Linked DNA regions of Oryzias latipes. The protein of the gene in region 1 purifies or fractionates together with the protein of each later gene. This does not show direct contact. Links are inferred from orthologs where the notes say so. Each region holds a gene or a part of one and is shown on either strand. Other genes may lie near its edges.

Region 1 (4,518 bases):
CTATCCTTAAATAAATATCAATGCTTTCCATAGCAACCAATACTTAAGCTTGTCAGACAATGTTGCATTCAGCTCGACACGAGCATGAACCCTTTAACGTGGGAGCTGTCGCCGGTGACATGAAAATAGCACAATTAACACATAATTAACGGAATTGGGAAACGGATTGTGATGCGGAGAAAAAGCAGCTTTGCAAATGATGTTTGCACCAATATGCAACTTTTTCCCCTGAGTCAAAATCAGCCGATTTACATTGATCGCATAACTAAAGATCAAAAATAGTTGCACCGACCAGAGGTCTTTGGTGCAATTAAGTTTTTCTGCCAAATGTCTTGAACACTTATCCTCACTCAAAATTAAGCAAGACAAAAAAACAAACTAAATCAGTGAATTTTACCAGATCATGTTTCCACAGGCTCCCTAGAGGAATCAAGTCCATAGCAACCATAGATTTTTTCTTTCTTTCATGTTTTGGGCTGATAAACAAGTACGACACGTTTCATATCTCTATCCTAAAATATGTGTGAAAAGTTTCCATAGCAACGACTATTGTTGCCTGCTACACAATATCAAATGACACATTGTTAGATTCTTGATCACCTAGTGAAACATTTCACTTGGTTTACCTTTACACTGGCGTTCCACTCCTGAGCGAACCTGCTGTCGCAGAAATCATCGGAGAGGCTGAGCTGGGCCCGGACTCGGTCCAGGTACTGACTGAACGTCAAGCCGCTCAGCAGGTGGATCTGTCGGTGAGAAAACCTGGACTTCACCCGCTTCTCTAGCAGCTCCAGGACATCCTGAGAAGACAGGAAGACGTCAAAGGGGTGCTACTCTTCCCTGACGAAAAAGTAAAAAAAAAGAGACCCACCAGCCTGCAGGTGAGTCCCACCACGGCGACGGGCGCCTGGGTGGACTGCGACACGTCAAACAGGTTGTAGAGCAGCGTTTGGTTCTTGTGGTGGGCGAACAGGTCGAACTCGTCCAGGACGAACAACACGGGGCGGCTGCTGGTGCGATCACCTGACGGAACCACAAACACAACCAGAGTGCTGGAGAGGACCGGATTTCACCGTCATCCACTTAAATTTAACCCGTCCAACCTTTCTTCAGAGCTTCCAGCAGGAAAGCCAAATTCTCAGCGAAGCTTCCCTGAAACGGGGAAAAAAAAAGAAAACATTTTTGGATCCGATTTAAGGCAAAAATGGCCGCCAAACTAAAAAGAAAAACATACGAAAACTTTCTCTCCAACGACGTTCTCCAGGTGGAGCTGCCTGGTTATTTCTTTAAGTGCAATTCTGTCGTCGGTCTGTAGGAGGCCTGGAACAAAAAACAAAAACAAAGAAAATTACTAAATTACTAGAGGAGCAGGCAGATTTGGAGGACACAAAGTCGCAATTACCGTTAAGGTGGACCTGCAGAAGGTTTTCCTGCACCTCCTTCTCCTCCAGCAGCTCCTGCAGAACGCTCCTCAGCAGCTGCGCAAACGCAGACGCCGTCAGACAACCAGCACTGCCCACCCTCAGCACCCCTCCCTCGCCGCCTCCTCACCGAGCTTTTCCCCGCTCCCCTCGGCCCGACGATCAGCACCGAGTTGCTCTCCCCGTAGACAGCGGTGCGCCTCAGCAGCTCCTCCAGGTGCCTGTATGGGCGGAGCTTCAAGTGAGCTTTGACAAACGATGGGGGGTGGGGCACCAAACTAGGTCGGCGCCGTCAGCCTGAACTGGGTCACAGAGCTGCGGGTCGTCTTTGCTTTAATCAGACACATAGCTAAAATAAAAATAAAAACCCACTTGTGTTGAGCTCCAACTCCATCGAGTCCTTTGGCTAGTTTTTGCTGGCAGTATCGCTCCCTCAAGATCCGTTGAACCTAGAAATTCATAAAAACACAAACAAATTCATTAAGTTCCAAGTCACTACCACGCAAACTCAAGGTTTAAGGAAGGGATACAAGCCTGTGTGATGCATTCTCCCAGGGGCTGATGGGAGATTTTCCCTTTCCTCTTACTCATGATGGCCTGACGAGAAAAAAGTGCTTTGTTAATAAAGTTTGATTTAAATCAAATGATCAGACTTTGAAGTAAACAAGTTAAAACGTTAAAATGATCCCTTTAAGTATCCCACCTGACGTCACATTGGAAGCCGAATTGTAAATAAAGTTTTATGTATCAAGAATGAAGTCTTTTGTGTTTGTAGACATATAAACCCCGCCCAAAAAAAGGAATTTCTATATTTAAAGAAATGTAAACAGGAAGTCCGATGTTCCTAGTGCCGGGTAGATACTGTAAAACATGTTGCGTTGCTGTTGTATGAAAAGGGCTTTATAAATAAAGTTTGATTTGATTCCAATGATTGGGCTTTGAACATGTTAAACCGTCAAAATGAAGCCTTTAAGTGAATTTGCTGAGGTTATAATGTCAGCCGAATTGTAAATAAAGTTTTATTTATCAAATATAAACAGCGCATTCCGTTTCTAGACGTAAGAAATACGTCGTGGGAAAACATTATTTTAATGTAACCACATTTAAAACGGAAGTTCGGCTATTCGGTGATCCTGCTGGAGATGAACCTAAAAGAAACATCACGTTGAAGAAAAAAACACCCCCACGTGATCACGAAATGTTGAGAAGTTGAGCACAAAAAGTTGCATTTAGTAAACAAAAGTTGTTTACACTCACGCGGCTCCAGAAAACACCAAACAGTAGCCCCCCGGAATCTTCCCGCGACTTTTGCGACACACGAGATGACTACTTCCGGCATGGGCTGAATCTCCGGTCTCTGATTGGCTGGAAGAAAACTCGTGATTGACTGAAAGCGGATGAGTATATTTTTTCTTTAAAATAAAGGTTAGTAAAACGCTTTAAAACATCAGAAACGGCATTAAAATATGTAAATAATTGATAAATAATAATATTATAATGTTGTTTCAAACAGAAGCATGGTTTGTGAGTTTTCTCAGTGCTGTGTCCGTTTTTAAATTACATTTAATCTAAATCCCATGATGACTTTTACTGATTCATTTTCATTGGAAATGTGCAATTTCTTTTTTTTTTTAATTGGTTTTATTACCAAACTAAGAAAAAAGTTTGGGAAAAAAATAATAATTTTGGGGGGTCTATTTTTCATTTTTTCTTTATGATGCAAATAAAAGAGATTATCTCGATGTAAACACAGATTTATAAAACATAAAAATTTACTTTATTTTGTTTAAATATTTTAATTTTGTTGTTAATGACTAGGGAAAAAAACAAAGTAACAAAAAAGAACAAAAATCAAAGAAAACCAGTTAGCTTTTTTTGCCACCTTTTTTATTTTTACCTTAATGCTTTTCTTCTTTAATGTCCCTTTAGGAGCTCCGTAGAATTCTTCTGAGCTACCAGTCTACGTTCATATGACCACTTCCAATAAAAAGTCTATGTAAACAGGTGTAAATGCATGTGACAGGCCTCCAAGTTCAAAACATAAATAGGCAAGTTTTTATGGCCATTTTTGGGCTCGACTAACGAAATGTTCATTGAATGTGTCTTAAAGCGGGTCAAACTTTGACCAATCGGGGCCCTCGGATCTGGTTGTGATGAACAAACGGCGTCCCTTTTGATTCATGGAAGAATTAACATGTTGAAAAGTCTTTCATACCGGAATAGAGCTGTGCTAGAAAAAAAACAAAAAAGAATTCCCAAGATTCGCACCACTTCAACATTTTGCACTAACCCACTACCAACTGTAGATGGCGCACATGCGCTAGTAAACAGTGAACAAAAAAAAGTAGAGGAAGAATCCCTCCCTGCTTGTCCATTGTGAAAACCGTGGGCTAGACGCACGTTTAAGAACTTGCATTCAAGTAACCACATCCAAAAAAATAAAAGTGTATAAACACGTATTTCGGACTTCCAAGTTTAAAACGTTCCCATTTACATAGAGATGCGCAAATTTCTACAACCATGGGCTAAATGACCAATTCGTCATTTCGCGCTAAGCCTCTTTCAACTGTAGGTGGTGGTAAGGCGCTAGTCAACAGAAGCCCCTTCTCGCTAGTCCATTGTGAACATTGTGGACTAAACGCGTGTTCAAGAAATCACGTTTAGCCTTTTCTTTTTCTTTTTTACACTCGCCACACCTCCCTCGGCAATTTGCATTCAAGAGGCCACTTCCGATAAAAACTCTACGTAAATGTGTGTCGATGCACGTTTCGGGTTTCTGTGTAGCTACGCAAGTCTTTACGACCATTTTTGTGCTGGACATGCTAAACTTGAACGCATGTTGCAAGTTAAAGTGGGTCCAACTTTGGCCAACCAGGGACTCTTATTTGGTCGTGACGTATGGACGGCGTCCAGTGCGAACACCGTCGGCTAAACGCACATTCTAGAACTCGCGTTCAGCACGTTTTTGAACGCTTTGACTGACCGTAGCTTTAAGCTACGTTCACACCGCCCTCAGCAACGCGTGTTCAAGCGACCACTTCCAATGAAAACTCCATATTCCAATGCAAAAGCTTCATCCATGCAATATGCACAAAAT
Region 2 (4,405 bases), on another chromosome or scaffold:
CCCCTCACACCCCCAACCTGACGTTAACGGTGCAACAAAAAATGGCGCACGATATTGGAGCTATCCAGCCGTACAGCTTTGATCCAGATTCCAGCTCAGACAGGAAAATAAAGATGTACATGGATCTATTTGACTGCAAGTTGATGAATCAGAATGGAGCAGAGCAGGCAGCCTGCCAACTCTAGCCTCTACAAAACAAATATGACGTTTTCTAAATGGCATTTTTTTTGTCTGCTCCTGATTCACAACAATTTAAATAAAGAAATACTCAGAAATTCTATTTTGAACTTCATTTTCTTAACATATGTACTCCGTCATAACAAAAAAAATGACACAAGATCGAGTTTAAAAACACCAAAAACACAAATTTTAACTGAAGTTAAGTCTTTCAAAAAAGGCAGTTTCTTACCCTGGTCCTCAGGTTGTCGCTGTAGACGAATCGTAAATGATTGGCGGTTGTGCTGACGTCTTTGCCATTGAAAATCCTCAAGTTAGGCAGCAACACCATCAGCTTATAATTATCACTCACCTGCAACATAGATAACATTCAACTTCATGTCTATAAAACAAAAAGAGTGGAATTAAATACCTTTACTTTGTTAATTGCTTTAAATCCTTTTTTTAATATAATTTATGTGCCTGTGTGACATTACTGCCATTTGTTGTTCTGTGTGAAACCTTCTCTGTAAAACAGCAGAGGGGGAACAGCACTCACTGTGATGTAGAGGTTGTCATCCATCTTAAGCTCTTCCAAAGTGCTCAGAGACTCCAAGGTGGTGACATCTTCCATCTGGTTGTCGCTGAGGTCCAGGAAGAAAAGCACAGGAAGCTTCAGGTTCTTGGGGAACTTCTGCAGTCTGTTTCCAGACAGGTCCAGCCTCTCCAGAGACTGCAGACGGGACAGGAGCTTAACAGGCAGGTCCTGAAGCTGAAGACCCAGCTTAGACAGACTAAAGAACAGAGCAAAGTCAGTTCCTTACACCATACAATGTTAAATACAATGCTGTCCTCGGTTTTTTTTTTTTTTTTAAATCCTGCAATTAAAAACAATTCTATTGTAATTATGATGGCTCTACACCAGGGGTGCCCAAATCCAGGCCTCGAAGGCCGGTGTCCCGGTGTTTTCCAACCATCCTGCCATTGACGTTCCTTATTGGCTGAACATACCGGTACACGAATCAGGTAATCGACAGCAGATGAGGCAGGGTTTCTTGAAAACTAGCCTGGATTTGGACACCCCTGCTCTACACAGAATGGTTTTATTCCTAAAGAGTTTTAAATACATTCTTTGCTGCATGTCCAAGTAACTATCAGTAGTTTACTACCAAGCAAAACAAAAACACAACTACAACAGTGTAGTTGTACAAGAGCTGCACGTGTTCCTACTTTAGTGTCTTGACTTGCTCCAGTTTGTTGGTTTTTGGGGTTCCTTTCTCCAGTAAAAGTTTCTCTGTTATCTTCTCCATTGTTCGACTGCAGATACAATTCAGGAAAGGATTGACTGAATGAATGACAATACACTTTAGTTTAATCTGCACAACCAGTTAAAACAACAGAATTGAAACATATAAAGACCGAGAAACTAAGTTTCTCAAAATAGACATGACCTGATCCTGCCCAACAGTAAGAAAACACTTAGAAGGTAAACTTATGTTATAGCTGCATCTTCTGTGATGTGTCATATTGACTAAATAACGTCCTTATACTACCTCTGCAATCACTTGCAGTGGGGTGTAATGTGCTTCTTTGTTCTGCTTTGATTCAACAAATTAAATGTTAGGTTTGTAAATCTAGGTGAATGTTGTCTTACTACTTTATTTACATTTTCTGCCAAATGATGGGTCCCTCAGAGGTTTGGTTGGGTGATAATCTATAAAATTAACTAAATTAAAGTGAACACAAAGCTTATTTGAACACCACAGCCAAAAAGAGATGATGTGTTGCCACTCAAACATGTTTTAAACTAACAAAACAAAAGGTTAAAGACGTTTTATAAGTAAATTGAGCAAAACTATTTTAGCAAATCATTTTTTCCCACCTTTATTCATAAATTGACAAACATACATTAAAGCGGTAAGCACAAAACAAGAACAAAACGAGCAAAAGGGAATTAGGCACATTTTTTTTATAATAATAATAAATTTTATTTAGAATGCGCTTTATATTTTGGGTAAAATCTCAAAGCGCTACAATGAAGGCAGGATTTACAATGGTTTAAGATAAGAACAAAGTAAGACAAAAAAACAACAACAATAAAAGTACTAAAAAGCATTATTTTATTAAGATATACTTCACAATCATCATGAATAGCTTTGAGTTTAGAACTTTTGGAAATTTCGATGCATTATTTAATTATAACAAGGAAAAGTGACTGTGCAAAACGTTACATTAAGGATTGTATTTTTAGCTAAACTTATGTGATACTAAATAATGTACGTAATCTTAGTTACAAAAGATATTTTAGCCACGTTGACGGTCAAGTTGACGTTGTTGTTTGGACGCATTTTCTGGGTTTTAAAATATTTGAAGTAAATCTAACGAAAGATCGATTAAAACATTGTTGAATCTACGAATATACTCAGTTCATTAATTTGCAATTACAAGCTCGTAAAATTTGGACATAAAAAAAACTCACCAACCAAGGATACACGAACACAAACGCGACACTAAAAATTTCGCGGGGAAAATGTCTACTTCCGGGGGAAAATGTTTATATCCGGTGTGTGCTGTTTTATATACCCTGAGCTTTGACTCATAGGCAAAATAGCTTCAAAGTGAATTTGATTGTGGATAATGATAATAAAGTTAGTGAAATATGAATGTACTTATTTTGTGTGCTGCTAAAAAATTAAATGTTTACAGATAAGGTTTCTAAATCTAACTATTTTATAATTATATCCTGCGCCTCTACCTTTCAACCATACAAGCATATACCTTTAACCCACAAGACGTTAGTTCCGGTTGGCTCAGAATGATGGCTCCGGACGGCAGCGACGGTGTTTCTCAATGCGGATGTAAAGGGATCCGGCTGTGTCTTTTGTGCGAAAATCGCAAAGAAAAAGAGGGGACAAAAGATCCAAAGGTATCTGTATTTAACTAAAACTAACAATTAATTGTATTTGAACCCCCTGCATTTACCTGTTTGCGCTTCTTTCAAATGTACGGAGGTCCTCGCTGGACAAAATACATGATCTCAAAGCATCAATATGCTAGGTGAATACTTTATTTACCATGAAATTTTTAAGTTACAATTTGTTTGCTTTTGTCAGTCGTTCCGATTCATACCAATATTTTTCCCACTTGTGTGACTAAACAACAAAAAGCTAAAACAGTTATTCACGATTTCTTACGAACTTATACGAAGAAGAGTGTAGAATAACCTGACTAGTTTCTCACATTAACTTAAGTTGTTGTTTTTTTTTTAAGACTTTATTTTTTGTTGTTGAGTGTTTCTTGTTAATAATCCACAAACCTAAAACAGAATAACTTTAAACATAACAGCACATAGAACAATACACTTCACTTTGGGCGATCTAAAAAAAACACCACATTTTTAATATTTTTGTTTAAAAGCAAAATGTAATTTTCTAACATATTTGCTAAAAGAAAGAGCACATTATCTGAAGTATGTGAATGAAACTGCCTCAGTTTCCTACAAAGAGGCTAAAAGTGAAGTAATAATTTATATAAATAGACATTTGTTTACTGTTGTCTTTTTTTTAGGCGGCGCATCATTTCATCTACAATCCTGAGACAAAGCTTGCTGTCTGCAAAGATGCAGGGAGTGCATCCTTCTCGTTTCCTGGTATCTTCCTATGGGACGACTTTATATCTGAAGAGGAAGAGAAGCAGCTGATTAACTCAATGGACCAGGATGCCTGGAACCCATCCCAGTCTGGTCGAAGGAAACAGGTAATGCTCTCCCAGTCAGATTAAAAAGGTTTACATTTTTTCTTCTGAAAAGACATGATGAGAGATTTACATTGAAATTAAGTACATTGATTTATAATTTAACCATTTTTCTCATTTTGGTTGCAGGATTTTGGTCCAAAGGTGAACTTTAAAAAAAGAAAAGTGCGTGTGGGTGGCTTCAGTGGACTCCCTAGTTTGAGCAAAGAACTCGTACTACGGATGCAGCAAGAGCCATGCCTGTCTGGCTTTCAGCCAGTGGAGCAGTGCAACCTGGACTACAACCCTCAGAGGGGCTCAGCCATAGACCCGCACTTTGATGACTCCTGGCTTTGGGGGGAGCGACTCGTCACCATCAACATGCTATCAGACACCACACTCACCATGTCGCTTGAGCAGGGTCTGCCAGAGCTGGGACTGTCAGAGGAAATTCATGTGGCCGTTCGCCTTCCACGCAGATGTTTAGTCGTGGTTTACGGCGAAGCGAGGCATCGAT

What was found.
Region 2: the proteins of orc4 (region 1) and lrwd1 purify together in Homo sapiens (affinity purification with mass spectrometry; 3 studies listed by BioGRID and IntAct, with this or other methods). This does not show direct contact. The link is inferred for Oryzias latipes from reciprocal best matches to the Homo sapiens genes ORC4 and LRWD1.

What each region holds. Positions count from the first base shown.
Region 1 is NC_019860.2:3,473,668-3,478,185, forward strand, and holds the start of orc4 (origin recognition complex subunit 4), read right to left. Parts: upstream 2,807-4,518; 5' UTR 2,679-2,806; exon of another isoform or gene 2,673-2,678; intron 2,589-2,672; exon of another isoform or gene 2,570-2,588; intron 2,019-2,569; 5' UTR 2,013-2,018; coding exon 1,956-2,012; intron 1,871-1,955; coding exon 1,794-1,870; intron 1,643-1,793; coding exon 1,552-1,642; intron 1,479-1,551; coding exon 1,403-1,478; intron 1,321-1,402; coding exon 1,235-1,320; intron 1,153-1,234; coding exon 1,104-1,152; intron 1,024-1,103; coding exon 872-1,023; intron 801-871; coding exon 627-800; intron 1-626. UniProt on the Homo sapiens protein: Component of the origin recognition complex (ORC) that binds origins of replication. DNA-binding is ATP-dependent. The specific DNA sequences that define origins of replication have not been identified yet.
Region 2 is NC_019872.2:25,209,600-25,214,004, reverse strand, and holds the start of lrwd1 (leucine-rich repeat and WD repeat-containing protein 1), read right to left. Parts: upstream 2,972-4,405; 5' UTR 2,935-2,971; intron 2,715-2,934; exon of another isoform or gene 2,636-2,714; intron 1,474-2,635; 5' UTR 1,467-1,473; coding exon 1,387-1,466; intron 951-1,386; coding exon 716-950; intron 530-715; coding exon 410-529; intron 1-409. Other genes in the region: alkbh4 (alpha-ketoglutarate-dependent dioxygenase alkB homolog 4), read left to right, coding at 2,972-3,082, 3,724-3,912, 4,039-4,405. UniProt on the Homo sapiens protein: Required for G1/S transition. Recruits and stabilizes the origin recognition complex (ORC) onto chromatin during G1 to establish pre-replication complex (preRC) and to heterochromatic sites in post-replicated cells.